Linked DNA regions of Macaca fascicularis. The main gene of each other region encodes a partner of the protein of the gene in region 6 in a complex. Links are inferred from orthologs where the notes say so. Each region holds a gene or a part of one and is shown on either strand. Other genes may lie near its edges.

What was found.
Region 1: SNRPF (region 6) and CRIPT share a complex: the UniProt entries of both Homo sapiens proteins name them as parts of the minor spliceosome. The link is inferred for Macaca fascicularis from reciprocal best matches to the Homo sapiens genes SNRPF and CRIPT.
Region 2: SNRPF (region 6) and STRAP share a complex: the UniProt entries of both Homo sapiens proteins name them as parts of the SMN-Sm complex. The link is inferred for Macaca fascicularis from reciprocal best matches to the Homo sapiens genes SNRPF and STRAP.
Region 3: SNRPF (region 6) and DHX16 share a complex: the UniProt entries of both Homo sapiens proteins name them as parts of the minor spliceosome. The link is inferred for Macaca fascicularis from reciprocal best matches to the Homo sapiens genes SNRPF and DHX16.
Region 4: SNRPF (region 6) and RBMX2 share a complex: the UniProt entries of both Homo sapiens proteins name them as parts of the minor spliceosome. The link is inferred for Macaca fascicularis from reciprocal best matches to the Homo sapiens genes SNRPF and RBMX2.
Region 5: SNRPF (region 6) and SNRNP200 share a complex: the UniProt entries of both Homo sapiens proteins name them as parts of the U4/U6-U5 tri-snRNP complex. The link is inferred for Macaca fascicularis from reciprocal best matches to the Homo sapiens genes SNRPF and SNRNP200.
Region 7: SNRPF (region 6) and LSM5 share a complex: the UniProt entries of both Homo sapiens proteins name them as parts of the U4/U6-U5 tri-snRNP complex. The link is inferred for Macaca fascicularis from reciprocal best matches to the Homo sapiens genes SNRPF and LSM5.

What each region holds. Positions count from the first base shown.
Region 1 is NC_088387.1:75,424,960-75,429,172, reverse strand, and holds the start of CRIPT (cysteine-rich PDZ-binding protein), read left to right. Parts: upstream 1-1,413; 5' UTR 1,414-1,500; coding exon 1,501-1,516; intron 1,517-2,983; coding exon 2,984-3,049; intron 3,050-3,842; coding exon 3,843-3,897; intron 3,898-4,213. UniProt on the Homo sapiens protein: As a component of the minor spliceosome, involved in the splicing of U12-type introns in pre-mRNAs. Involved in the cytoskeletal anchoring of DLG4 in excitatory synapses.
Region 2 is NC_088385.1:18,708,235-18,711,734, forward strand, and holds part of STRAP (serine-threonine kinase receptor-associated protein), read left to right. Parts: intron 1-1,368; coding exon 1,369-1,465; intron 1,466-2,674; coding exon 2,675-2,812; intron 2,813-3,500. UniProt on the Homo sapiens protein: The SMN complex catalyzes the assembly of small nuclear ribonucleoproteins (snRNPs), the building blocks of the spliceosome, and thereby plays an important role in the splicing of cellular pre-mRNAs.
Region 3 is NC_088378.1:141,993,824-141,997,323, forward strand, and holds part of DHX16 (pre-mRNA-splicing factor ATP-dependent RNA helicase DHX16), read left to right. Parts: intron 1-374; coding exon 375-485; intron 486-654; coding exon 655-770; intron 771-2,880; coding exon 2,881-3,091; intron 3,092-3,288; coding exon 3,289-3,387; intron 3,388-3,498; coding exon 3,499-3,500. UniProt on the Homo sapiens protein: Required for pre-mRNA splicing as a component of the spliceosome. Contributes to pre-mRNA splicing after spliceosome formation and prior to the first transesterification reaction.
Region 4 is NC_088395.1:136,676,609-136,680,761, reverse strand, and holds the start of RBMX2 (RNA-binding motif protein, X-linked 2), read right to left. Parts: upstream 2,801-4,153; 5' UTR 2,737-2,800; coding exon 2,732-2,736; intron 2,521-2,731; coding exon 2,405-2,520; intron 954-2,404; coding exon 902-953; intron 1-901. UniProt on the Homo sapiens protein: Involved in pre-mRNA splicing as component of the activated spliceosome. As a component of the minor spliceosome, involved in the splicing of U12-type introns in pre-mRNAs.
Region 5 is NC_088387.1:1,387,317-1,391,590, forward strand, and holds the start of SNRNP200 (U5 small nuclear ribonucleoprotein 200 kDa helicase), read right to left. Parts: upstream 2,801-4,274; 5' UTR 2,692-2,800; coding exon 2,647-2,691; intron 2,126-2,646; coding exon 1,962-2,125; intron 240-1,961; coding exon 68-239; intron 1-67. UniProt on the Homo sapiens protein: Catalyzes the ATP-dependent unwinding of U4/U6 RNA duplices, an essential step in the assembly of a catalytically active spliceosome. Plays a role in pre-mRNA splicing as a core component of precatalytic, catalytic and postcatalytic spliceosomal complexes.
Region 6 is NC_088385.1:102,891,833-102,896,042, forward strand, and holds the start of SNRPF (small nuclear ribonucleoprotein F), read left to right. Parts: upstream 1-1,410; 5' UTR 1,411-1,532; coding exon 1,533-1,535; intron 1,536-3,514; coding exon 3,515-3,640; intron 3,641-4,049; coding exon of another isoform or gene 4,050-4,112; exon of another isoform or gene 4,113-4,210. UniProt on the Homo sapiens protein: Plays a role in pre-mRNA splicing as a core component of the spliceosomal U1, U2, U4 and U5 small nuclear ribonucleoproteins (snRNPs), the building blocks of the spliceosome.
Region 7 is NC_088377.1:97,820,315-97,823,814, reverse strand, and holds the end of LSM5 (U6 snRNA-associated Sm-like protein LSm5), read right to left. Parts: intron 3,224-3,500; exon of another isoform or gene 3,047-3,223; coding exon of another isoform or gene 2,968-3,046; coding exon 2,872-2,967; intron 2,279-2,871; coding exon 2,251-2,278; intron 1,391-2,250; coding exon 1,318-1,390; intron 927-1,317; coding exon 894-926; 3' UTR 438-893; downstream 1-437. UniProt on the Homo sapiens protein: Plays a role in pre-mRNA splicing as component of the U4/U6-U5 tri-snRNP complex that is involved in spliceosome assembly, and as component of the precatalytic spliceosome (spliceosome B complex).

The DNA.
Region 1 (4,213 bases), on a different chromosome or scaffold from region 6:
CCAAAAGTAGAGCACGAATGGAAGGAGGGAAAACAAATTACTCATCTCTACAATACACGTATTTAAATTACCTGAGAGTTAATTGTACTGTTAAACAAGGACTTTATTAATTTAAAGTAACAGTCAATATGTTACACTATGGAGAATATTCCAGAAAATAGAAATATCTCAGAAAAAAATACTACACACACACACACACACACACACACACACACACACGTGGGCGCGCGCGCGCGCGGAGGGGCGCCCGCTAGTGTGAAAAGCAGAAGGGCGAACCTGGGCCTTATCCTAATAGCTCTCATTTAATTCACCCAGTGCTTTTCAAAGGCAGATATTTTACTGATAAGGAAACAAGGCAAACAGGTGAGGTGGTCCAAGGTCCCACGCGCTACAGCTCTCTCTCTGGTATAAGGAAATACACTAGGCATGAAGAAGCAAACGGATGGCAAGAAGGGACAATGGTAAACTTTCCCATAGATTCTCTTAAGCTGATTGAGGGAGGGCAAGGGGATCAGGAATCCATTCTCTCAACAGATAGCCCTTCAGCCATTTTTCTGAGCCACCCTCGGAATCGCAGCTGCCATCAGATGTGGATGTAATACAGTGAGCAGTTACCAAACTCAACCGTTTGCTGAGTGAATGAAGGAACCAGAGTAGGCAAAGTGGGAAACCAACTCTCCTGGGAAACCAGCACCGTGTTAGGCCCTGGCGTGCCCCCAGGGCGCCTGCAGGGGTGCCACGGGCATGACGCGGCCCACCTTCCCCAGGCACCGCAGCGGAGAGAAGGCTCTTCAGAGCGGCCCCCAGAGGAGCCTTCACGGGCATCGCCGCACCTCCACCGGCAGCTCCACCCCAACCCTGGTCGCTGGGAATTCTGCCCGACCCTAGGCCGGCGCGAGCGTGGGCAGCGAGGAACCAGCTGAGAAGCAGGATCAAAGAGCTCGGGAGTTGGAGACAAAGAAAAACTGGGGGACAGAGGCAAAAACTCGGATCCGAAAGGGGGTCTGTCCATCAGGGCACGCCGGAAGAGTGGCGCTCGAGCTGACGGCGAGAGCTGGCGGGCCGGGGCGCCGAGGCTCAGGGCTGCTTCGGCAATTCGCGGGGGTGACTTGCACCCCGGGAGGCGAGAGCGCCTGGGAAGTCCAGCGAGGCTTACCTAACTTTCCCGCCCGCGGAAGGGAAGCGGGGAACTACTGCCTCCCACCATCAGGTACGACAGGAGGCCCAGGCCCACGCGCAGACGCAGGGTTGTGGGGCGGACACCCACGGCCGAACAGCCAGTCGCAGAAAGGGAGGGGCGGGCAAATGGGGCAGCCCCACCTAGCCGCTCGCGTTCATTCCTCCCGCGGCTTTCCAGGTTTGGGGTAGGCGGGAGCGGTGGGCTTAGAAGCCGGAAGTGGATTGACGTAGCCCGGAAGGGGAATACTTCCCAGTTACAGTGTTGATGTTTTCAGGCTCCTGCTGCTCCTGTTGCGGCTAGGGGAACTGTCGTGGGGAAGGATGGTGTGCGAAAAATGTGAGTTAAGGGGCTGCTTCTGCGGGAGGAGGAGGCTGGGATAATCTAACTGAGCCCTCCCGGGAACTTTGCCTTCTCTTTGTTTTTTTCGCCCACAGGTCTCTGATTCTAGCCGCTGTCTTTCTACCCTACCCTTTGACCATTTTTGCACCTCCCCAACGACCATACAGTCCTATGTATTTTGTACTCAGAATGGTCTCAGTTCTGCACCTCCCTCTCTATTTCCATTGCCTTCCCCCAGCCCCAGATCTCATCGGCTCCCCTCCCATATAAAAATGTTCAGTTAAACCCCAGCGACACCTTTCCCTCTTGGCAATTCCTGTCCTTTCCTTTTTATTCGTGTAACAAGTATTGTACTCCTGCCAAATGTTAGACACTGGAACCAAAGACTTAGGACTTTGCCTTATTCATTCTCATTAGTCATTATGCCAGGATATGGCGTAGAGTAAACCCAGAGATGTTTGAATTGAACATCAACGTAAGTGCAAATTATTATTTCCCTAATTTAAATCCTTTAATAAACTCTCAGTGTGCAGAGAATAATTTGGGGATTCTATATTTGGAACCTGACGTTCAGTACCCTCCACACTAAGGCGCTAACTTATTTTTCCAGCTTCATTTTCACTGACCCTCATCCTCTTCACACTTTGACCAAACAAAATACTCTTTGTGCCCATGTGTACTCTAAGCTTTCTATGCCTTTCCTCAGAATGTGTCCTTTATCTAGTTTGCGTTCATCCTCTTTACTCCTTTTTGTTCACAGTCCTGTTGCCACATATTCAAATCCTCTCTCTTGCCTTCTCTCCAAACTTTGTTTTCTTGGATTTCCTTAGCCAGGGTTATTTTTTCCTGCCTGGAATTTCTCCTAGTACTTTAGTTCTCAATTATTATATCTTTTATTTTTTAGCTTACATTTTGGTTGAATGGTTCTTTTTGGGGAGACGGTCTGTGATCCCTCTGAGAATCTGATGAAAACTGTAGCCTCTTGCCAGGAAAAAAAACTGAAAATATAAAAGGTTTGTGTACAACTCCACCTTGTTCACATATCTCTTAAGATCCACCTGGGGAACCCAGGTTACAGATTGCTGTTAAAGAAATTAGTATACTATAATCTCATTAAAATTTTGTCTGATTCATCACTTTTTCTCAGCACTTTCTATAGTTTATACATCATAGATGCTTAGTAAATATTTATGGAACAAATAGACTTATTGGATTTTTTAAAAGTATAAACAAACAGTGAAAGCTTATTATAAGCCATCTTATTATCCTGCGAATTTTACCGACGGTCAGTCATTCATTGCCCACAGTTAATATGAGTCTCAGTTGACTGGCTGCTTTCTCAGCATTAACAGGCTCCTATGGTAATAGCATTGATAGTCGATACCATTGTGAGCCTTAGGCACAATGTAATGCACTTATGAAATAGTAAATTTTAATTTTCCTTTTACTATCTTGTTCTAACAGGTGAAAAGAAACTTGGTACTGTTATCACTCCAGATACATGGAAAGATGGTGCTAGGAATACCACAGGTATTTCTTCTTTTAGAAAATAGGAATTTAACCAAATACTTACTGTGAATTATATTTTAGCTTTTACATTATTTGTACAATGAAATGTTGTATGTTCAAAGTATTTTATCTATTAAATATTAAAGAATACTGGGTCCCCAAGTGATTTAATATCTTTTATTTAGTTCTCAGTTACTTGTATGGGTTCCCAATATCAGGAGATAGCAAAATTATTAAATGATTGTCAAGTGGTGACAATATCACAGTATTTGATTATCACAATATTTGATTTGATTCAGCTTATTTAGAGTCTGTTTTTAATTTCCCCACTCTTCTGAGGAGAAATTTTTTTAAATCTTCTGATTTTTATATTCTTGAATAAATAAATGCTTTAACCCATTTTACCTTCATTATCATTAAATCTTTATAATGAAGTATTTACCTTCATTATTATTAAATACATATAGTAAAGTATGTTTTCAAAGCGTAGACAAATAAACATTTTCATTATATTGAAGGTCTATGACACTGAAGTAGTGGCTTCTAGATTTTACACTATATAGAGTAAATATAGACCCATTCCTAAAGTACTCCCTTGAGTCTGAGAAATAAAATGATTGTATTTTATACAAATTTTTACTGTTTCCCTAATAAATGTTTTCTTTTTAAGCAGTGTCTTAATAGCCTACTAAATGAGGATTTAAAAATTAGATACAGACTACTATTTTGGTAGAAAGTCAAAGAATGAACTTCTTAATGTTTTATGTTAAATGTATAGAAATAACCCACTAAAATATCTTTTATTCTGATACAGAAAGTGGTGGGAGAAAGCTGAATGAAAATAAAGCTTTGACTTCAAAAAAAGCAAGGTGGGTAAGAGCATCCATAGACAGATCATATAAATTTCCTTTCTTTTAGTATTAAGTCTGCTGGAGTGAATTTGATGTGCATCATTCCATTTGCAATAAAACATAAAGGTAGGTGGTTCATAGCACTCAGAACCAAGCTATCTGTTACAATCCTGCTGGTTTTACCTTATTCCTCCTTGGCTGTATCAATATATGAAGATATTAGTGTTATTCTCTTACAGTTTCACCAGAAAACATGACTTGTATTTTATCTCCTTCTTAATTATCCTATGAATCAGAGACAGCAGGGAAATGTGGAAAGATGGTAAGCTTTGGA
Region 2 (3,500 bases), about 84 Mb from region 6:
TATAATATTTTAATCATTGCCCTCACCATATATATATACTTAGCTACCAAAACATGACAAACATAATTTTGTTTTATTATATGTTTGGTATCTTTGAAATTTTATTATGTGGGCATTTATGTAGTCATAAATCTATAACATTGAAAAGAGTAATAAGAGTCAGAACCGCATTGGAAATTAAGCAGTTGTTCTCTTGAGATACCTTCCATTTCTGAGAGCTTTTTAAAATATTTTACGTTTTAGTGTTAGGGTAGTTTGTTACGAAAACATTTTTAAGGTGAGGAAACAAAGCCCATTTACAGATTTTTTTATTCTCCGTTGCATGTAGGGTTTTTTTTCTGCTTTCTTTTTTGATAAATTTATGCCAAAGCATAGGAAAGGACTCTGACCTCACTTAATCTGTCAACTCATTCAGCAAAGCAAGGTAGTTCAGGGATTGGGTCAAAGCAAGGTAGTTCAGGGATTGGGTCAAAGCAAGGTAGTTCAGGGATTGGGTGGACATTTTTCATACTCTGCCTTTCCCAAAGCTGTTTTATGAAAGTTGCTCTTTCTCGCTGTGCTGGCAGCAGAAATGATAGCAACTTAGTGAGGTTTTACTGTGTATCAGGTTATCTGTTAAGCACTATCCTCATTTGTAACCATTGTTATCTCATTTTACAGATAAGGAAATAAAGTTAAAAACTTAAGTAACATGCCCAAAGGTGAAAATAGTGTTGAATGGCATTGCCTCCAGTGTCTGCTTTTGCCCCTAGAGAAAGCAGTGAGGGTTTTTTGAAGTCCTTTGAAAGGATAATCTCCTACAGATTTAAGCTCCCTTCCTTTTTTTTTTTTTTTTTAATGTTTTCCTCACAGTGTAGAAACATTCTTGGGAATTGCTGTCCCACTTTCTGTTTCCCTTTTTCCTTCTAACTCTTACTTCCTATTAGTTACTATCAATAGCTGCTTGGATGAAGGTCCCAGAGTTAGCCATAGTACTAGAATCAGTTTCAACTATCTTGTTCCTAGGTCCATGTTCTTATTAAATTATGCCACATTAATTATTATTTTATTTCATGGCGATACAATAATGCTTTTGAATATTATCAGTTGTGCAGAAATTTAGCCTAGAGGGAGTGAGTGGTGCATTCACTCAGCTACATATAGCAAGCATAGTAGTTCCTTGGGTCCCTGTCATGCAGGTAAATTTATGTTCCAGTATGGAAAAACTAACTGTATTCTGTATAAATATCAGGTTTGAATTGGGCTGGGCTTTGAAAAGTTGCAGTCTAATTTAAAATGTGTGTTTTTTAAAATATATAATAGTTTCAATATTGTTCAGTTAAAAAAATCATGTATTAACAAATATACTTTTAATTGTTTTATCTCAAGAACCTAAGGAAATTAGTGGTCACACTTCTGGTATAAAAAAAGCTCTGTGGTGCAGTGAGGATAAACAGATTCTTTCTGCTGATGACAAAACTGTTCGGTAAGTACTTTTTTTTTAATAATTTACAATTTGAGGCTGGGCATGGTGGCTCATGCCTGTAATCCCAGCACTTTGGGAGGTGAGGTGGATGGATCATTTGAGGTCAGGAGTACTAGACCAGCCTGGCCAACATGACAAAACACTGTCTCTATGAAAATTACAAAACTTAACCAGGTGTGCTGGCACACACCTGTAATCCCAGCTACTCGGGAGGCTGAGGCAGGAGAATCACTTGAATCTGGGAGACAGAGGTTGCTGAGAGTTGAAATTGCGCCATTGCACTCTAGCCTGGGTGACAGAGCTAGACTGTCTCAAAAACAAAAAACAAACTTAAAATTTGAAAAATATTTTACCTTAGAGCTTGTATTTTAAATACATTTAATATTATGTGCAAAAAATGTTCTGAACATTAAAATTTAAGTTGCACCCAGGTCACATTTATCTGGAGCTATTTACTATTACAGGTCAAGTATCCCTAACCTGAAAATCTGAAATTTGAAACGCTCTGAAATCTGAGACTTTGAGTGCTGACTTGATGCTTAAAGGAAATGCTCATTAGAGCATTTTGAATTTTCTGTTTTCAGGTTAGGGATTCTCAATCGGTAAGCGTCTGATGCAAATATTCCAAAATCCGAAAAAGTTTGAAATCCAACTTCTTTCTGGTCGCAAGTATTTTCTATAAGGGATGCTCACCTTGTATATACAGACAGCAAAATTCAGAAGAAAATTAAATCCTGATCTCTTATAAGCAGGTGTTCTTAACCTGGGTCTGTGGGCAGGTTAAAGGGAGGGTCCATGAAGCCTCTGAAATTCTATACAAAAATCTTGTTTGCTGACACCTGATGTATATTTCTTTGGAAAGATGTGTAGCTATTGCTAGATTCACAAAAACAGAGTGTAAGAACCACTATTTATAGCAGTGCTGAAATTGACTAGATTCGAACTTGTCTTATGTAGTTTTGCCAAATTGGGAAGTATATGTAGGTATTAAAGTTGATTTTACTTAAAAGCTGTTGTCATGCATAATTTGACATTGTATATAGAAACCCAGAATTTCTTTTTATCATCTGTAATTGTGACTTGGAATGAATGTTGTTTTTCTGTAATTGTGATTGTTCTTTCTTTGGCTAATCTGCAGATGTAATTAGAATTTATAAGCTTTTTTCTGACATGAGTAAACATCATCATATTTTTATCTTTATTTTGCAGACTTTGGGATCATGCTACCATGACAGAAGTAAAATCTCTAAATTTTAATATGTCTGTTAGTAGTATGGAATATATTCCTGAGGGAGAGATTTTGGTTATAACTTATGGACGATCTATTGCTTTTCATAGTGCAGTAAGGTATGTCCAAGAAATACTTTCATTTTCTGTTTTAGGTAACAAAAGACAATTTGGCTACTTAAAAATGGAAAGATATTTACTTTTTTTTTAAAAGTAAAGAGGCCAGGAATGGTGGCTAATGCCTATAAATCGCAGCACTTTAGGAGGCTGAGGTGGGAGGATGGCTTGAGACCAGCCTGGACAACACAGTGAGACCCCCATCTCTACAAAAAATAAAATTAGCTGGTCGTGGTGGCACATGCCTATAGTCCAGCTGCTTGGGAAGCTGAGGTGAGAGAGTTGCTGGAGCCTGGGAGGTTGAGGCTGCATTGTGCTGTGATCCTGACACTGCACTCCAGTCTGGATGACAGAGCAAAACATCCTCTGAAAAAGAAAAAAAAAAAAAAAGAAAAAGCAAAAACTGCTGGATTGGTAATGTAATTTATGTTTTTTTACTAGATAAAACCATTGCGGGCTGGGCGTGGTGGCTCACGTCTGTTATCCCAGCACCTTGGGAGGCTGAGGTGGGCGGATCACTTGAGGTCAGGGGTTCGAGACCAGCCTGGCCAACGTGGTGAAACCCCGTCTCTAAAATAAAAATACAAAAAGAAGAAAAATTAGCTTTTCTGTAGTCCCAGCTATTTGGGAGGCTGAGGCAGGAGAATTGCTTAAGCACAGGAGGTGGAGGTTGTAGTGAGCTGAGGTCGCA
Region 3 (3,500 bases), on a different chromosome or scaffold from region 6:
GGCTGGTCTCGAACTCCAGAGCTCAAGCAATCCTCCCACCTCAGCCTCCCAAAGTACTAGGATTATAGGCATGAGCCACTGTGCCCAGCCTTCCTGCTTTTTACCTTAGCTGACTCTGCCTCAGCTAATCTGTTCTTTTCCAGCTCAAGTCTAGCAGAGCCATGAACTTAATTACCCAGAGCTAGGTGAGGACCCCCTTTGAGGGCCCTAGGTCTGTCATCCTATCTATTTGCCCTTCTTTTCTGGTATTCAGCATCTGTCTTTTCCTCCTTTTCTCCTGTCTGGCTTTTACAACTTCTTTCTCTGAATTGTACCTGGTCCCAGGGGGCATATTTAGCAAAGGGTAAACCTCTTCTTTCTTCCTTGTCATTCAGGGTTATACAAAGAAGGGTATGAAGATTGCCTGCACCCAACCCCGGAGAGTGGCCGCCATGAGTGTAGCCGCCCGAGTGGCCCGGGAGATGGGTGTGAAGCTTGGGAATGAGGTGAGATTTCTAGGGAACTGGGGGGTAGAGACTGGGGTCTGTGACTCAGTCTACACTGCCCTCAGGTCCCTACGGCAGAAGTCTTGGTGCTGCCCCACTTCACCTTTCCCCAAGTTCCTTTCAGGGCACACCATCCAACACTTGGTTGCTAATGGTTTCCCTTGACCAGGTTGGCTACAGTATCCGCTTTGAGGACTGCACATCAGAGCGAACTGTCCTCCGCTACATGACAGATGGGATGCTTCTCCGGGAGTTCCTCTCTGAGCCTGACCTTGCGAGTTACAGGTACATACAGGGCCCTCATCTCCCATGAGAGAGCTGCCCACATTCTCTTCCCCCTGTGCTGCCGCCTCCCTCCCACTCAGTTCTCTCCTGGATCTCTAATCTCTGGCTTTTCTCTCATTTCTTGCCACCCAGCCAATTCAGCCATTGTCTTCTGATTAATCCACCAGTTCTTATATCGTTATGGTTCAAACGGTCCTTGAACTGACCTCCAGGTACCACGGAGATGGGGCTGGAGGATAGAAGAGATTGTAGAGAAAGCCTCTTCTTCTTTCCCCATTCATCTCCAGGGTTAGGAAACAACCAGGATAGCATAGCATTGCTGCGGAGGCTTGAAATGCCATGTGGAGACCATTTGAAAACACCTGGAATGCTCAGCTCAGAGGGAGAAGCAGGAGAGGCATCCTGGTTCCCTCTAAATATGTGAAGGCTGTGACATGGAAAGAAGGATGAGACTTGGTTTATGTAACCCTACAGGATACAGCTAGGAGCCATGGGGAGGTTACAGGGAGACAGATTCCAACTCAATACCGATGGCTAAATAACCCTCAGAGTGTTGGAGATTGCAGGGCCTGTCAGAGTGGTTGGACTCTGGATCTTGGCCCTCCACACAAGTCTTGGGTAGCTTGGTCTGTGAATAATGAGCTCTTAGTGCTGGAAATGGCCAAGCAGAGGTTGGTTGAACATGTGTTGAGGGGGAAAAGGGATTCATGAATGTGCTGGGGTTGGGGTCAGGCCAGCTGAACAATATGTGCCCTTTTTTGACTCTTCAGAGGCTGTGAATTTCTGGCCCTGGAAGATCACAGTGGAGTGATTGGACAGATAGGATTTTATCCTTCATATCCCTTGCAAAAAATCTCTGAGAACCCATGGAGAGCCAGCCAGTGCAAGAGGGCCTGATGCAGATATTTTTGCCCATCGAGCCAGCCTGCTTTGTGGAATGACTGGGGGCTTCACCATCACAGTTAGGGTTAGGGACAAAGAGTTGAGGTCAGAGAGGTGGGTAGGGGAAGATGAGGATGAGTTCCTGAGACTTGGCTGCCATCCAGAAAAGCCAAAAAATAAAGCAAAGAGAAAGAAGGTGTCATGCACATAACTGAGTTAGGAGAAACCAGGGAGCATGCAGAGTCCTCTGAGAGTTGGGGTAGAAAGGCTTAACTTGCTCCTCTCTGCAAAAGAAGAATCCTTCTTAGCAGGTCTGGCTCTGTTACCCAGACTGGAGTGCATTGGTGCAATCTCGGCTTACTGCAAGCTCCGCCTCCCAGGTTCATGCCATTCTCCTGCCTCAGCCTCCCGAGTAGCTGGAACTACAGGCGCCCGCCACCACGCCCGGCTAATTTTTTTTTTTTTTTAAGTAGAGACGGGGTTTCACCGTGTTGGCCAGGATGGTCTCAATATCCTGACCTCATGATCCACCCTTCTCGGCCTCCCGAAGTGCTGGGATTACAGGCGTGAACCACCGCACCTGGCCTCTTTTTACATAGAGTGTCGCTCTGTCACCCAGGCTGGAGTGCAGTGGCTCAATCTTGGCTCACTGCAACCTCTGCCTCCCGGGTTCAAGCGATTCTCCTGCCTCAGCCACCTGAGTAGCTGGGACTACAGGTGTGCGCCACCACACCTGGCTAATTTTTTTTGTATTTTTAGAAGAGACAGGGTTTCGCCATATTGGCCAGGCTGATCTCAAACTCCTGACCTCGTGATCTGCCTGCCTTGGCCTCCCAAAGTGCTGGGATTACAGGTGTGAGCCACCGTGCCCAGCCTAAAGCATATCCTTCAACTTTTTCTAGTAAGAGCAGCTACTGAGTCTAAGCAGACTCTTGACTGAACTAGAGAGTATGTCTAACTTGTCCTGGCCTCAGTGCAGCCTCTACATCTTGGCTTCTATTGTCTGCTGAGGCTGGGATAGGTTGCAGATCATGGGTCCCTGGCCGCCTCTGACTTTCTGTTGGTCTTACATAACTGGGATGGCTGAGTTCTCCTTAGACCCCCCCTCCGTCAACAGTCATTCTTGAGCTCTTTGTGTCCATCACTCCCCTCTCGTCCAGGGAACCCTGGTGTCTGATACTGCATTGCCCAGCGCTCCTCCCTCATTGCTGCCCTATTCCCTCCCCAGTGTGGTGATGGTGGATGAGGCTCACGAACGGACCCTACACACAGACATTCTCTTTGGATTGATCAAGGATGTTGCTCGCTTCCGACCTGAGCTCAAGGTCCTGGTGGCTTCAGCCACACTGGACACTGCCCGTTTCTCCACCTTCTTTGATGACGCCCCTGTGTTTCGAATCCCCGGACGCAGGTTTCCTGTGGACATCTTCTACACCAAGGTGCTACCTCAGGGAGGATGGGCTTAAGTCTGTGGCAGAAAAGCTGAGGCCTTTGGAGAAAGTTATCCCAAGGAGGGAAAGATGGAGTGGAAGGTCCAAAGGGGAACTAGGATAAAGTATATGTTGAACGGGGAGGAGAGGAAAGGTTTGCCTAAGCAGGTGGCCCTCCTGTGACCGCATCTCTTTCTGCTCTCCAGGCTCCAGAGGCTGACTACTTGGAAGCTTGTGTTGTATCTGTGTTGCAGATCCACGTGACCCAGCCCCCTGGGGATATCCTGGTGTTCCTGACAGGACAGGTGCCTGACATGGTTGGGAGAGGGGAGGGTGTATCTCAGGGGAAGATGGGGCCGGCATGTTGGCCTTCTGTGACTCTGGGATCCCTGCTGCTCTCCCCACCCTCTATCCAGGA
Region 4 (4,153 bases), on a different chromosome or scaffold from region 6:
GGATGGCCCTACCATCCTGCCATAGCAATCCCTCTGCCAGTGTATGCTACCTGTGTTTGCTTGGCCAGCCCCTTTTGCCATGGTCTGCTACCTGTACATGCTGTCCAACTTCTCTGAAACAGTACTATGCTCTGAAGGCCTACAAAACCCAAATGTAGTGGTCCTTTGCACCTGTGCCAAGATCCTCTGGCCCTGTGGACTAACTGTGCTGTTTACCTCTGGGGTTGCAGGCCAGCTGCCCAGCCCCTCTCCTACTAGCTGCTACTACCAGTATGAGCCACCAACACCCTCTCCCACCAAATGCTGCTGCCAACACCTCAGCAGAATGAAGAATATACAGATCTCCTATTCATTCTTGTTCCTCGTCAGGCTGTGATTCTCAGCCTCCAGGTAGAGATTGGCTTTGCTCACTAACCTTACATTCATTGAGAATCAAAGAAAGCAAACTACAACCTTCTTTCTGTTTTTCATCCCAATTCCTCTGTGGTTTGCCCCAGTCGTATGATGCCACACAGGCAAGGACCAGAAGGGCCCTGTGACCATGGGTTACCCCTAGTTTGCAAGAGCCCAAGGAGGCGTACCAATATGGAACCTTCCTGAGGGTTCCAGTCTGTTCCAGTCTAGGCCCAGGCTGAACAAACCTCAGTGAAAAACAACAGAAATAGACTAGAATCCCCAAGATGGCCTCCCAAATTAACAAACCTCTTGGATCTCCCACAGGAGAACATTCTAGAACCATGTCCTGGGACTGATCTAGACTAGAGCAGAAGCTCCAGCCCTCCCCATGCAGGGACACCATTCAGCCTAGAGTGAAAATAAGTGGTTTTTGTGATGCCACAAAATGCATTACAGAAAAAAGTACTCTGTCGACTCAGGAGGCAGGAAATGAAAGGGGACTTACTGTGAGAACACACAGATGATGTCCCCTTCAGTCAGTTCATAAGGAAGCCCTCCTAGAAAAGAAAACCACATTTCAGTTCCACCAACATTTACCAAGTGTTTACTACGTACCATGCACTAGGCCAGGCACTAGGGGTGCAAACAGTAAGCAACAGGCCCTGCCCTTAAAGAAATCAAGTCTGGGCTGGGCACCATGGCTCACGCCTGTAATCCCAGCACTTTGGGAGGCCAAGGCGGGTGGATCACCTGAGGTCAGGAGTTCGAGACCAGCCTGGTCAACATGGCGAAACCCCGTCTCTACTAAAACTACAAAAAAAATTAGCCGGGCGAGGTGGCGGGCACCTGTAATCCCAGCTACTCAGGAGGCTTAAGCAGGAGACTCGCTTGAACCCAGGAGGCAGAGGTTGTAGTGAGCCGAGATCACGTCACTGCACTCCAGCCTGGACAACAAGAGTGAAACTCCAACTCAAAAAAAAAAAAAAAAAAAAGAAAGAAAGAAATCAAGTCTGATGCAATGACAGAAGTACATGTAAGGTGCCAGTAGAACAGGAAAAGGAGTGACTAATTTTGAGTGGAAGTCAGTGTCACCACTAACAAAAGTAAACTGATCACTCAGTCCTCCTGGCACCCAAAATCCTATGGGCAAAGCAGATAGTTTCCATCACAAACCTCTGCTTCCACAAACATGTTGAATTCATCTGCTCATTACCCACAAATTTACAGCTATGATACAAAATTAGTCTACATATGTCATGATTAACCCCACCTACACATAGACAAAGGTTATAAAGACACTGTTAAGCATTTCCTAGGGAATAATTTCCCTTCCAAATGTTTCTTTCCTCATCTGTAAGATGGGGATATTAGCAGGTAACTCGCAAGACTGTTATAAGAGTTAAATAAAACGATGCATATAAAGTGCTTAGCACAACGTTTTTACAATAACCTCTTTGAAGCATCAAACTTGTACAATTACTGGTTGTGATATAAAGTGAATACAGTAATGGTAGTGTGGCCATGGTCAGAAAGCAGGAGCTAGAGGAGCAAAGTGAATTCTGCAAGGGAAGGGGAATGGGGGAGGGCGGTGGTAGCAATATGGGGCTGTGGCTAAGACCATGAGTTCTAGAAAGCTATAGTTCTGCCTGTTGCGGTTATTAGCTATGTGACCTTAAGGAAGTCCCTTAACTTCTCTGCACCCCAATTTCCTCAGCTGTAATAACGGGTCAGGGGGTGAGAGAGAAATAACAACAGTCCCTGAACCTTAGCACAGCAAATGGCAAACAGTAACTCTCATGAGCACTGATTTGGCTGGGAAGGAAAACTAAAAATGGGGCAGAAAAAAAAAAAAAAAAAAAAGATGGAACACGGATTCCCGGGCAGACAGCAGATGGATATAAAGGAGGGCAATGAATGTAAGCAGGAGTGAAGGGTGAAAATGCTGAAATAGTCGGACACCGAGCAGGAGAATCTTGGGAGCACTGCGGAAGAAAGATGTGCACCTCACCCAGGAAGATCCAGGCGCTGTCCTTGTACTCGGAGTGCCAGGACACTTTATCGGCCACCCCAAGCTGGACCTCTCGTTCATTCAGCTCGTTGATCAGCTTCACCTTAGTTAAAGGACTTCACGGTGGCGGGGGTGAGGGGAGGCAGAAAAGCAGACAAGTAAATGCTAACCGGCCGAAGCTGAAGAAGAGCAAAACAAGGGGACGAGGTGTTCTAGTCCCCGCGCCTCTCCCGCCCCTCGACCCCGCAGACGCTCTACCACCCCAGCCCCAGTAGACCACCCTCAGCGGCCCGCTGCTCGTTCCTCAAAAGGAAGCTGACGCCTTACTTCATCTCCGCGGGCTCGCGCTCAGCATTCAGGAATCAGCGCCCGGGAAAGGCAGCGCCGCGCATGCGCGGCCCCGGCGCCGGTGGCTCGTCGAGTCGGTGACCTCGCGCCGGAAGAGCTGGGGCGTACCGGGGCGTGGCGCCTGCGCACTAGAAGCCTTCCGCGTTCTTTGCGGTTACCTCTTGTAGAAACGGTTTTTCTCTAATTTTTCGCTTTTTCTCCTCTGTGAAATGGGGTAAAGGCACGAGCCTGGGCTGTTGCAGGACCCCCAGCTCTTGAACGATATCGGAAACTGGTTAGATTAGCTATAAATATTTGCTGAATGAACGGAATAAGCAGCCTGATGTGGCGACTTTAGTCTCAGCCCTCGCTCCCAGTCCAGAGTCCCACTTGGACCTTCGCTCTTAGTCAGTTGCTCACGCACAGACCCATCAAAGCATCCCTGTCATGGCAGAAAAGTGAAGAAGATAGGTGAAAAGGTAAATCTTCTGTTGTTCTTATCCCAATACATAGGCAACAGACCAGTGTGCCTCTATAGGCTGAATTGAATACCTACAGATTTGCATGAGAGCCGCTGCACTTACTCTTTTCCATAGGCTCTCTCCTAGTTGAGCAGGAGACAGAAATTAATATTGTTAAATTAATAGCTAGCAAGTGAGCAGATGATGTACTGTATGATACTAGAGTATGTGCTAAGCAATTTACATGTATTGTCTCTCCACCCTCACAACAACCCAATGAAGCAGATAAAATTACAATTCCTGGCCGGGCGCAGCAGCTCATGCCTGTAATCCCAGCACTTTGGGAAGCTGAGGGAGGAGGATTGCTTGAACTCAGGAGTTTGAGACCAGCCTGGGCAACATAGCAGAACCTGTCTCTAAAATAAAGGAAAAAAGGGGGGGCCAGGTGTGGTGGCTCACACCTGTCATCCCAACACTTTGGGAGGCTAAGGCAGGTGGATCACCTGAGGTCAGGAGTTCAAGACCTACCCAGCCAACATGGTGAAACTCTGTCTCCTCTAAAAATACAAAAATTAGCTAGGCATGGTGGCACACGCCTGTAATCCCAGCTACTCGGGAGGCTGAGGCAGGAGAATCACTTGAACCTGGGAGGCAAAGGTTGCAGTGAGCTGAGATCGCACCACTGCACTCCAGCCTGGGCAGCAGAGCGAGACTCCTTGTTTTTAAAAAAAAAAAGAAAGAGAAAGTAAAAGAAATTTCCACCCTCGTTTTGTAGAGGAAGAAATGAGGCTCAAATGAATAAATTAACTAGAAAGGTACTAGAGCACCTGCACCCAGTAGGTCAGGTTGATTCAATCAGTCCTTACTGAACATCTAGATTTGTCCTGTGCAGCTAAGGTCTGTAGACAGGAGTATCAGGTTGGGTCCTCTGCCCTCAAGGAGCTAATATTATAATTAAGGG
Region 5 (4,274 bases), on a different chromosome or scaffold from region 6:
ATCATAGAAGCTGTATGCCGGGAAATGAAACAAAGACCGAATATATATTTCACAATATCACACTCACCTGGTCCCCAAGAGCAGCCTGGATGAAGCTGAGCAGCACCTCATAGGTCTCCCGGGTCTCCTTAGTTTTGGGTTTGTAGATGATACCCACCATCTCATCAATGCCCTCCGACAGCAGAGTGTAACCCTTCATCTTGTTGATGTCATGCCGGTCCTCATCACGCTTTCTTCGCCTGGTGGACACGTGACGGTGAATGGCAGAACCTTTCCTCCCCGAGGGAAGACTGGATCAAGCCCACCCTCCTCTCCTCAGCTTCATGGCAGGAAGTTAATATCTGAAAACCGGTACCTGAGCCTCAGCAAATGATTCCTATTGGACCTTGATCACTTGCAGGAGTATTTCTTTATGGGACCCAGTGACAGAAAGAAAAATTCCCCATCGTCTTCTCACTAGATACACTACACATTACAGTGAGATATGTTTCTCATTTAAAACATGCAACCCTGGCCGGGCGCGGTGGCTCAAGCCTGTAATCCCAGCACTTTGGGAGGCCGAGACGGGCGGATCACGAGGTCAGGAGATCGAGACCATCCTGGATAACACGGTGAAACCCCGTCTCTACTAAAAAATACAAAAAACTAGCCAGGCGAGGTGGCGGGCGCCTGTAGTCCCAGCTACTCGGGAGGCTGAGACAGGAGAATGGTGTAAACCCGAGAGGCGGAGCTTGCAGTGAGCCGAGATCGCAGCCACTGCACTCCAGCCTGGGTGACAGAGCCAGACTCCGTCTCAAAAAAAAAAAAAAAAAAAAAAAAAAACATGCAACCCTTTGGTCAGGTGCAGTGCTTGACGCCTGTAATCCCAGCACTTTGGGAGGCCGAGGTGGGCGGATCACCTGAGGTCAGGAGTTCAAGACCAGCCTGGCCAACATGGCGAAACCCTGTCTCTACTAAAAATACAAAAATTAGCCGGGCACGGTGGCGAGCACCTGTAATCCCAGCTACTCAGGAGGCGGAGGCAGGAGAATCACTGGAACCCGGGAGGTGGAGGTTGCAGTGAGCAGACATCACGCCACTGCACTCCAGCCTGGGTGACAGAACGAGACACCATCTCCAAAAAAAAAAAAAAGAAGTATAACCCTTCTCAAAAAAAAAAAAGGACAACCCTTCATACATTGTATGAGACTATTATATAATAGGATTTTGACTAGTTTTTCATCTCTCAAATGCATTTTCCTTTTCTAACTAGAGAAACAAGCTCTAACAGAATCTACTGCCGTTGACTATCAACCAATTATAACAAAACTGGAAAAGAAGATATAGCACAAAGTGGAGATAATGTATTAACTCATTTCAAACATACTTTAATCAAACTAAGCCCATGAATTTTGGAAACATCATCATAGGAAAGCGAGCAAGACACCAAGATATTCAAGATCAAAAGATAATGGTGAGGTAAAGGTAAGTTTTGAAATGCGTCCCCAAGAAATATTTAAGAAAAGAAAAAAAGAAAAAAAATGCAAAATAAGAAAAAAAACTGTCTTTCATACCATGGATGCTTAAATTAGTTTGTAACAACAAAATAGGTAAGAAGTGGACAAGAGTAAAGGGAAAAAATAGGGGTAGAAAGTTAGTAATGGAAAAAAAAAAAAAAAGAAAAAGAATTACTGGGACATAGGAATAGCAAGGGTCTTGAAAATACCCTGAAGAAAAGTAAGATCTGTCTATGGACTAGAAACACACATGTAAGAAAAAGGTACCAATAAGTTATTTTCCACTTCAGGTACACTTTTTAAGGCCAAAAAAATCTTTAAACTCTCCTGTTCTGTTTTTACCTTCACTAAACCGTTTTAATGCCACTGATCTTACACCAAGCATTCCGGCCAAAATGCTGCTCGAATGTTAAAGAGAAGAGACTTTGGATCTGAAGGAAAAAATAGTATTCCCTTAGCACTCACTTGGCTCTTCTTTCCTCCTGCATCTGCGGTTTGGTCCGTTGAGCCTTGTCTCCCATACGTGTGCCCTCCAGCTTCCCAACAAGGGACAGCACCTCTCCTGTGGGTTCATCCCGGCGGGTCCGGTCAATGAGAGAGCGGTCAGCTTGGAGCACAAGATTTGAGTTCTGAAAAGATCAAAACATTATTGAAGCTTTGACATGAGCAGGGCCAGTTCCTACTATCACAGTTACCCCAGCTGATGGAAGAATCGTAGTAGCTAGTTGCTTATAATCGCTAATCGTAATAATGATATTTTCCTTAAGAACTGCATGGTATGACGCTGTGCAGAAGCATAGAGCTGAATAAGTCTTACGGCCTGTCGAATCAGCTAAGCAATTCTTGTTCCTAACAGTGCCCATCATAACCCACATCTGGGAAAAGTGGTGAGTGGGTTGGGAGTGAAGTGTGGAAGGGGGCGGGCTTAGCGTTGAAGGGACTCGAGAAACTCCTCCTAGAGAGATCTTAGCACTCCCCAGACCCCCGTAGGTTACTCACGTCATCAAATAACCCCCACCTTCACCGCGATTCCACTTCCCCTCCGTTTTCGTGGCTCTCCTGGAGGCCTTCAGACTGAAACTCTCTTTTTCAGCCTCCCCCTCCCCACTGGACTCCTGAGCCTGGAATCCTCCCACGAGCCCAAACGTACCGCCTTGTACTCGTACTGCAGACTACGGGCGGTTACATCCGCCATGGCCGCGGCTGCTTGGAGACTTCAGGCCTCCACGCCCCCCAGCCGCACGCTGCAAACGGCCGTGGACCTCCGCTCCCGCCGCGCCGGTACGACGCAGGAAAGACGCACTGGGGGAAGGAAAAGAAACGGGCTCCCTTCCGCTTCCGGGTCGCGCCCCGGAAGTGTGGGCGGGGCGTGTCCCTGGCGTATGCGCGGGGCTTCCCGCAGCCCTCTGAGTGGGATGTGTGGGCCTGGTGCATTTGGGTCCCCGAATCCCTAGACCCGCGCACTCTGGTTCCGGCCGCCCGCAGGCCCCAAGGACCCAGGGCCCGTGCTCTCCCCGACCTCAGTCTCCAGCCCCCCGGCACCCCTCACATCGTAACGAACGTACGGCCGCTTAGCCCCTGTCCCGTCCCAAGACCTTTCCTTCCGCTTCCTTCCTCTTTGGCAACAGTCCCATGAGGTAGGCAGGAAAAGAGGGCCTGAAAAGTCCCGTTTCCGTTTGAGGTAACGAAAGCACCCAGCGAGCGAGGTCACGTGCGCGTGTGTCTGTGTCTGCGTGTTTTAATGATTGGCGTCTTGCTTTGGGTTTCTCTTCTGTGTTGAACAATTGAAAAAGAAAGCTGCTGTCCCCCACCCGTCCCAGCTAAACCGGTGGCCCCAAGACCCTCGTTCTCACCCAGCGGAACGAACAGGGCCGGGGCCCCCGTCCGCTCCCAGTTGTCGGTGACATTCTATGGTAGGGCCCTGTCTGCCGCCCGGGGAAACCGGTGCAGGCAGGGCCAGAGAACAACAGGCTGGATGTGGTGGCTCATGCTTGTAATCCCAGCACTTTAGGAGGCTGAGGAAAGAGGATTGCTTGAGGCCGGGAGTTTGAGACCAGCTTGGGTAACATAGTGAGGCCCTGTTTCTTCAAACAATAAAAAAGTAGCCAGGCCTGGTAGTGTGTGCCTGTAGTCCCAACAACTTGGAAGGCTGAGGCAGGAGGATTGCTTGAGCCCAGGACTTCAAGGCTGCAGCAAGCTAGGATTGTGCCAGTGTACTCCAGCCTGACCCACATAGCAAGACTCTTCCCCCACAAAATGAAAACAATTTTTTAATTAAAAAGATAGAAAAGAAAAATGACAGCCATGCTTCCTCACTCTGGGGAAGGGGCTCGGGGAAACTTCCTGGGCCAACTTGTTGAAAATGGGGGAAGGGGTCTAGTCCCAGCACTTTGGGAGGCCAAGGCGGGCGGATCACAAGGTCAGGAGATCGAGACCATCCTGGCCAACATAGTGAAACCCCATCTCCACTAAAAATAGAAAAAAATAAGCTGGATGTGGTGGCACGGGCCTGTAATCCCAGCTACTCGGGAGGCTGAGGCAGGAGAATCACTTGAACCAGGGAGTCAGAGGTTGCAGTGAGCTGAGATCGTGCCATTGCACTCCAGCCTGGCGACAGAGCCAGATTATATCTCAAAAATAAATAAATAAATAAAGAATTTTATAGTGTATAGTTTTTGTCTCTCTAAAGTTGTTTTTAGACAATTTTTTTGGAAACAGGGTCTGGCTGTGTTGCCCAGGCTGTAATGCAGTGACACAGTTTCAGCTCACTGTAGCCTC
Region 6 (4,210 bases):
TCGCTGCCTTGCTTTGTTTGTGCGTTTTGTCCAATTCTTTGTTGAAAACGGCAAGAACTCGGACAGCTACCCTCAACTGGTAACAGTTACCTGCTGGGCCTGCTTCCTCATCTCTAAAACGGGGCTGTCACCCCGAATCAGACGGTAAGGTAAGATTTCCACAATTGTTGAAAGAGCCTGACACATAGTAGGAACTCAAAGTCTGCACAAAGACTTAAAGTTCATGAAACAATATACAAACTAAGGGAGAAATCCACTTAAGTTTAGGGTGAATAAATCTAATAACTGTTTGGTAAAAACTACACTGACAATGACTGTCTTGTCAGTGTTCAACACTTATGTGAAACACTGAGCTTTTACAAGGCCAAGCCCCGTTTTAGGTTAAATTCTCGCAACCACGCTGAGGATGGTTCCGTTTTTAAAGCCGCGTTCCTGCCGTGGAAACAGTGGCCCTGAGGGTTAAGACACTGCCCAACACCGGCTGCGCCTGATAGACGCAGGTTCCGAATGCAGGCCCTCTCCAAAGTCTTGCCCACTGCTCCACAGTGCCTCAACAACCAACATTTCATCCTCAACCTCAAATCCATCTCTTCAGGGCCGCAAAAAAGCGTTACTTCCCAAAGGGCGTGTTCTCCAAGAACTGCATTTAGCATTTCAGATCAGAGTGAGCCGAACTCACTAGGATTACGACAAAAACCAGTGAGATTCAGATAACACCGTTACGTCGAAAGTTTTAATCCGTGACAGCGGAAATATTGCTTACGCCCTTAGGTAATTTCAAATGCACGTAAGAAGGCCGTGCCAGTCTCTGCTGGCGATGCAAAAGAAAGATGGGGCCGGCGGGGTCGTGGGGGGTGGGGGGACATGACATCATATCCCAGACACAACCTGACCTCGTTTAAAATAAATTCTGTATCCGACTCCCTTCGGTGCGTTTCACCGCCCCTAGTCTTGTCTGGCTACCCCCGAAGTCCTTTAAAAGGGGTTGAAATGGGTGTTGCAGAAGAGAGAATACTCAGGTAGAAACGGCCTGCGGCAGAGGCGCCCCCAAATCATGGAACCTGTTGGAAGAGTGAGGAAGGAACTCTGGGATCCTGAACATTCTCACGGGTGTAAAAAGACAAAGTAAAATCCCCATTAACCAAGTTGGGGAGAAGTCACATCCGTTACACAGCCTCTCCCAGACCGCACATTTACAACACCGGCCTGCCTCCAGTCCTTGGCTGCCTCACCTTGCTCCTCAGAGCGGGTTTCCCAAGACCCGCGCGCAGCCGGCCAGGCGCAAACTCAAGCCGCTGCTGGTTGCCAGGAGATACTGGTCCAACCATCTCCTCCAATCAGCGCGCATCTCTTTTCGTCCAATCACAGAGGCAGGAAGGGCCGTGGTGGGAGGTGAAAGGTCACACTCCTGTTTGGCGGCCATTTTTCTTGAAATTCAGCGGCTCGGGACCTGGGGTACCTGCTGTAGTCACGAGGGACAAGCGGCAGCCTGGTCGGCAGTGAGTAGCCTGCAATATTCGGCCGTGGTTACGATGGTAAGGAGAACGAGAACGGCGGGAGAAGCGGGGAGAAAGAGAAGGAGGGAGACCACCTCGCGGGGCCTAGTGGTTGCTTCGCGCGTTTCCCATTCATCCGCGTGAGGCGCCGCGCACCCGGTCGCCAGCTTCTTTCACTCTGCTTTTAGGATTTCTGAGGCGCGTGCTCCTCCCGATGCCTTTCTTTTTCTAGGAGTACCCGTGCCTTCTCCTCTTTGTTTGAATCCGGGCTTGGGATATTCTTGTTTGTGGCTACAGGGTCGGGGTAAAACTCAAAGAGAATTTGCACTTCCCACTTAACCACACTCCAAAATTCACTTTCATTGCATGAAAGTAATGATACGGCCATGCTCTAGTTTAACTCAGTTGGTTGGGGAAGACAGACAGTCAAAAAATAACAAATATGCAATTGCAAGTAATAAGTGCTAAGAAGAATGCAGACAGGAGGCTGTGAGGGTGCGCGTTAGACATTTAGAGGCTTAGTCAGAGATGGCCTCCCTAGGAGGTGGAATTTAACCTGAAGCCTAAGTGTCATGAAATAGACCCTTTAAAGAGCAGGAGGAGGAGTGTACCGAGCACAGGGAATAGGCGCATAAGACCTGCGGCCGGAAAGAAAGCTTGGTCAGTTGGAGAAATTGACAAAAAGGTACAGCCACTTGCAGGAAGAGTGGTTACGAGATGGTGTCGGAGGAGCAGGCGTTGGACAGGACCTCTTAGGCTGTATTGGGAGGTTTTGATTGTACTCCAAATCAATTGAAAATGATTGAGTTGGAAGCCATTGAATCATTTTAAGCAGAAATATGACAATTTGATGTGCACTTTAAAAAATCATGTTGCTGTGGTGGATAATAAATTGGAGAATGAAAACTGGAGACCCATTAGGTTATTGGAGTAATCGCCGTATCAAGTCACTCCGAATATGTTTATGTTAGAGGGGGTTAGTAGCCAAGTTTCTTAGTTCTGTTCTTTCTTTGACTGGTGAGTGAGCAGAAAAAGGCAAAAACCGAATTCACTGGAGATGTTAATGGTTTGCTGAACAAACTTTAAGTGATTTCTATAAGAGGCAGTGCTAGTGACAAAGTCATTTAGGACCTAGCCCTAGCTTCCACAGTTAAAGACTGTCAAGCGTCATCTGCCCTCTGCTTCCTTCTGTAGTCTTATATTTGGGACTTTGACTGACAATGCTGAATTGTATGTCCCCAAAATCACCTTGTTGCTTCACTCTTCCCTCCTTTTACATAAGTAGCTAGCCTTGCCTGGAACAGGATTTTTTCCCGCTCTGGAAATAAATTCTCATTCTTTAAAACTGAGGTTAACTTATTTCAGGCAACCTTTCCTTTTTTCCCTGGATTGCTTCGGTACCCTTGTGCCTAGTATATCTCCTCTTATTATGTTGCAATATGCAGTATAATTATTTGTATGTGAGGAGCCCCCCTCCCCATCTCCAACTTCTTGACAGGGACTCTGTTATTTATTTATGACAAGGTCTTGCTCTGTTCCCTAGTAGCCGGGACTACAGGTGTGCACCACCACATCTGACTATTTTTGGTAGAGAAGGTGGTCTCACTATGTTGCCTGGGCTGGTCTTGAAATTCTGGCCTCAAGTGATCCCCCTGCCTTGGCCTTCCAGAATGCTGGAATTACAGATATGAGCCACCCTTTCTGGCCCGCATTTTTTTTTTTTAAAGTGCCTTTATCTTTGTTTCTTTAGAGCTCAGAACAGTAAGTGATGTATGTAGTCGGTGTTATCTTAAGTGAATAGTGAGTATTTTGTTTTGATGGGTTAAAGGTGATACTGACTAACTGGATATTTAAATTTCCCTGGTACTCTCCAATAAATAAAAGTGAAAATTGTGTACTAAAATAATGAGTCAAGAGTTTTCTTCATTTGCATACCACAAAATATTGGTATTTAGTAGAAGAGAGTTGGTGGTGGGAGGAAAAATAATTAATTGGATCCTTTTTTGTTCTTTGTGCAGAGTTTACCCCTCAATCCCAAACCTTTCCTCAATGGACTAACAGGAAAGCCAGTGATGGTGAAACTTAAGTGGGGAATGGAGTACAAGGGCTATCTGGTATCTGTAGATGGCTACATGAACATGCAGGTAAGCTAAAGAGCTGTAAAGGTCATAACATTGCATTTAGTTTGCTTCACCTTATTGCTCAAAGGTTTAGTCTGACTAATAAGAATACATACAATTAAATTGACAAATGTACGGCAAAATTAAAAAATAAAGTCAAAGCCAGGGAGGATACTATGATATACTAGGTACAAGACATGGACTTAAACCAGAATTCAGCCACAGATTTTATTCCTAGTAGTTAAAGTAAGAAGAGCTCAGACATTTAATTCATAATAATACTGTAAGGGAAACACACTACTTTGCTGGAGAAAACAAAACATTTCTCATCATTTAGCCCTGAAAGAAAGTTTTCAAGTGAAATTCATGAGTCTTTTAATGAATGATGCTAAAGGCACAACACCAAAGTTATTGAGGAAATTCATTCCTTCAGGGGAAAGACACATCTGCCGAAGAAATTGAACTGACTGTATGTCTGTCAAATGAGTTTCTGTAAATGATTCAGCCATGTGTTTTGGTGGGGGTTTTTTTGTAATTAATTTTCTTTTTATTGTGGTAAAATATACATTACAATTTTGCCACTCTAACCATTTT
Region 7 (3,500 bases), on a different chromosome or scaffold from region 6:
ATGTGTACTGAGAGTGGACTGAGAAAGTCTATGAAGACATACAGCAAAGCATGATCAACCTTCTCCTTTTTGCTTACTTATAATCCTACGATGTGTGTATATTACCTGTTTGTTTTTAATAGTTCTTTGACTTAATTTATACAGTTCTATGATCTTATTATCAGTTCCTTGATTTTACCTGAGTCCCAGAGTTCTTAGCTGTTTTTAGTATCCTTTACCTTAAAGCTCTGTCTCCACTAATTTCCTGGCAATTCAGTAATAATTACATTAAGGTAATAACCCTCTGAACCAATTTTATAAACAAATAGATAAAATTTGTATCTTTAGGGAAATTCCAATAGATAATTCCCGCATTTCTACAATGTGCATATATTACCTGTATATTGTTTGTTTTCAATAGTTGTTCATGGAATTTGAAATCAGTAGAAAAATCCTCATTACAAAACAACAGCATTTTAATTTAATTTTCTAAGTGATCATTTCCAGTTGTTTAAATGCACCTGTTCAAATCAAAGTTCATCATTTTGTCTGGAACGACTTTTGTTTGAGAATCAAATGGTCATGTAAATGAGAAAGCAAATAAGCATATAATGACAGAAAAGTAAGTGGCAAAATAACCACAATCTTTGTTCCACTGGCTACTGCAGTACAATAAATAAAATGACAATTAACCAAAAACACCTTTATTTTCGTCTTCAAAGAAGAAGCTCTTTTCTTCTTTTTCCAGGATAATCATGATTAACTTACAAAAATGGGTACACATCTTCAAAGCACTTCCCTTTAACGGGAAACTTAGCTTTACGGGATTTAAACATTAGAAGGTGGGGGAAAAAAATTCCATTTTCTTGTCATTAAAAGACAAAACAGAATCTAGCTAAGTCAAGAAAACTCATTCACACTTCAGGTCCTTCTCCTCCAGGAACCAGCTGCATAAAGAGGAAAAAGAGTTTATTAGTAACACAACAACCATGTCATCTAAAAATCCCTTGCTCTTCCTTAAGCCACCTTTGCCTGTCCTCTGCGCTCCACATTCCCATTTTCTCCAGATTGTCAATATCTATTCACAATTTCCAACATCATCAATTAATACTTACTATCTCAACAGCGATTAAAAATTCGAAGCAAACTAACCTTTAGACCCAATGCCTCTTCAATAGCTGAGCTTTAGGGCCCTGACCACAGAGAACACCCTTCCCATCTTACGCACCACTGGGCCATGATCATTTAGTTAAGCAAGCAACATTAAGGTTAGTTCTATAATCACTGCCCCAGAAAAATGGGCTCCCATCTAAACAAAACAGTTTCAATGTGTCTTACCATTGTTATATTATTTCCATTTAGCAAAATCTGATCTAATTTAGTAATCCTTCTTCCTTCTGGTGTGATTTCACTAAATGAATAGATAAAATACAGTCAGGATAAACAGTGAAAATCAAAGCCAACATTTTGGAAATACTTTCCCTCCCTAAAAAGGTGATCCTTGTATACAAATTACTCTGAGGTTGGGCAATTATATCGACAATTTTCAGTTACAAAGGTTATCCACTAGGTAATGTAACCTTCATTAAAAGCAACAGAATGAACTCACTGACCTAAGATCCACATCTGTCAGACAGAGCTTCATAAAAAGAAGCCAAAGCTTGCCCAAGAAATCAAATATGAAATGAAATGTTTTTTGGGTTTTGTTTTTTTTTTAAGAGACAGGGTCTTGCTCTATTGCCCAGGCTGAGTACAGTGGTACAATCATAGCTCACTGCAGCCTAGAACTCCTGGTTCACGGGATCCTCACCCTCCAGAGCAGCTAGGACCACAGCTGCCCCCCACCATACCCAGCTAATTTTTAAATTTTTTATAGAGACAGGGGTCTCCCTTTGTTGGCCAGGCTGGTCTCAAACTCCCAGGCTCTATCCTCCTCATTAGGCCTTCCAAAATGCTGGGATTACAGGGGTGAGCCACCATGTCCAGTCTAAATGCTCTTACTATCAGTTCCTTGATTTGACCTGAACCCTAAAATTCCTAGCTCTTTTATCTTCTACCTTAAAACTGTCTCCACTAATTGTCTAGGAGTTTACTAATAATTAAATTAAGGTAATAACACTGATCCAATTTTACAAGCAAACAGATAAAACTTCTATCTTTAAGGTTATTCTACCAACAGGTAATGTTTTCTCATAAATAATTTTACTCAAAAGTAGTAAAACTGTCTTTAATTAAGAAGAGATTCCCCCCCAATTCTTTAACACTACTCACAACTCAGTGACATCTTCCAGTACCATATCTGAAATTTGGTGTTAAGAAAACAAATAGAGAATTTACTCCAGCTTCTGCCTTTGTTCAGCTTTTCTTTTCTTTTCTTTTGAGACAAAGTCTCGCTGTGTTATCCCAGCTTAAGTGCAGTGGTACACTCACACCTCACTGCAGCCTCCACCTTTTGGGCTTAAAGGATCCTCCTGCCTCGGTCCCAGAGATTAGCTGGGCCCACAGGTGTACGTCACCATGCCCAGCTAATTTTTGTAATGTTTGTGGAGACAGGGTTTCATCATGTTGCCCAGGCTGGTCTCAAACTCCTGGGCTCAAGCGATCCACCCACCTTGCCCTCCCAAAGCGCTGGGATTACAGGTGTAAGCCACTGGGCTCGCTTGTTCAGTTTTAATTATAATGTTTAACACAACGGCTCAAATTCAAAATGTTTGTTGTTGATAGGAACTTTACCGTCTTTCAATACATACCTCTTAAAACATTATCATAAGTTCCCTGAAAATGAACTGATTTTATTATAATAATCACAAATATACTGATTGTCTATAGTTCTTACGTTATTAAATACTTAAGAAAAACCTATACCACCACCACCACCTTTTAAAAGGATACTGACAAAGTCATCAAATCCTAGAAGAGTACCAACAATTTCCTTATCACTCTTCATCACAATGTGAATTCTTGATCCTATACATTTGTCCACAAGTTCTGAGGAGGGAAAAAATATTATTTTACCATTCATTATTTCAACAAATATTTGAGTGCCTACTGGCACTCTTACTTGCATATAGTGAAAGAAAAACCAGGAAAAACATTCATTCAATAACTTTAGGTCTTATAATACAAATCTCAGTTTAAGCACAGCATCTGGCGCGTAATGAGGATTCCAAAAGAGTCTGTGGCATGAAGGAATGAAAACTTTTCAATCACGGCCACGACCACTAGTTCAATCACTCTTCACCAGCTACAAAAACATAAGAGGAGATAGGTATAATTATATTCACCGGAAACTCTGTCACTGCTTCCCTCCCCCAACTCTGTCTATCCTCTGTGCTCTGACGGCAGCTTGAACATCTCTTTTGCCAGCCTAGCATTATGTAGCAGGATGTCTACTTGTCCAGTATTCTCTCCTCCACTGGCTTGTGTGCTATTTGAAGGCAATGGCTATGGTTTAAGTTTATCGTTGAAAAATGCCCAGGCACGGTATCTCGTGTATAGATACTCAGTTACTACTTATTGAA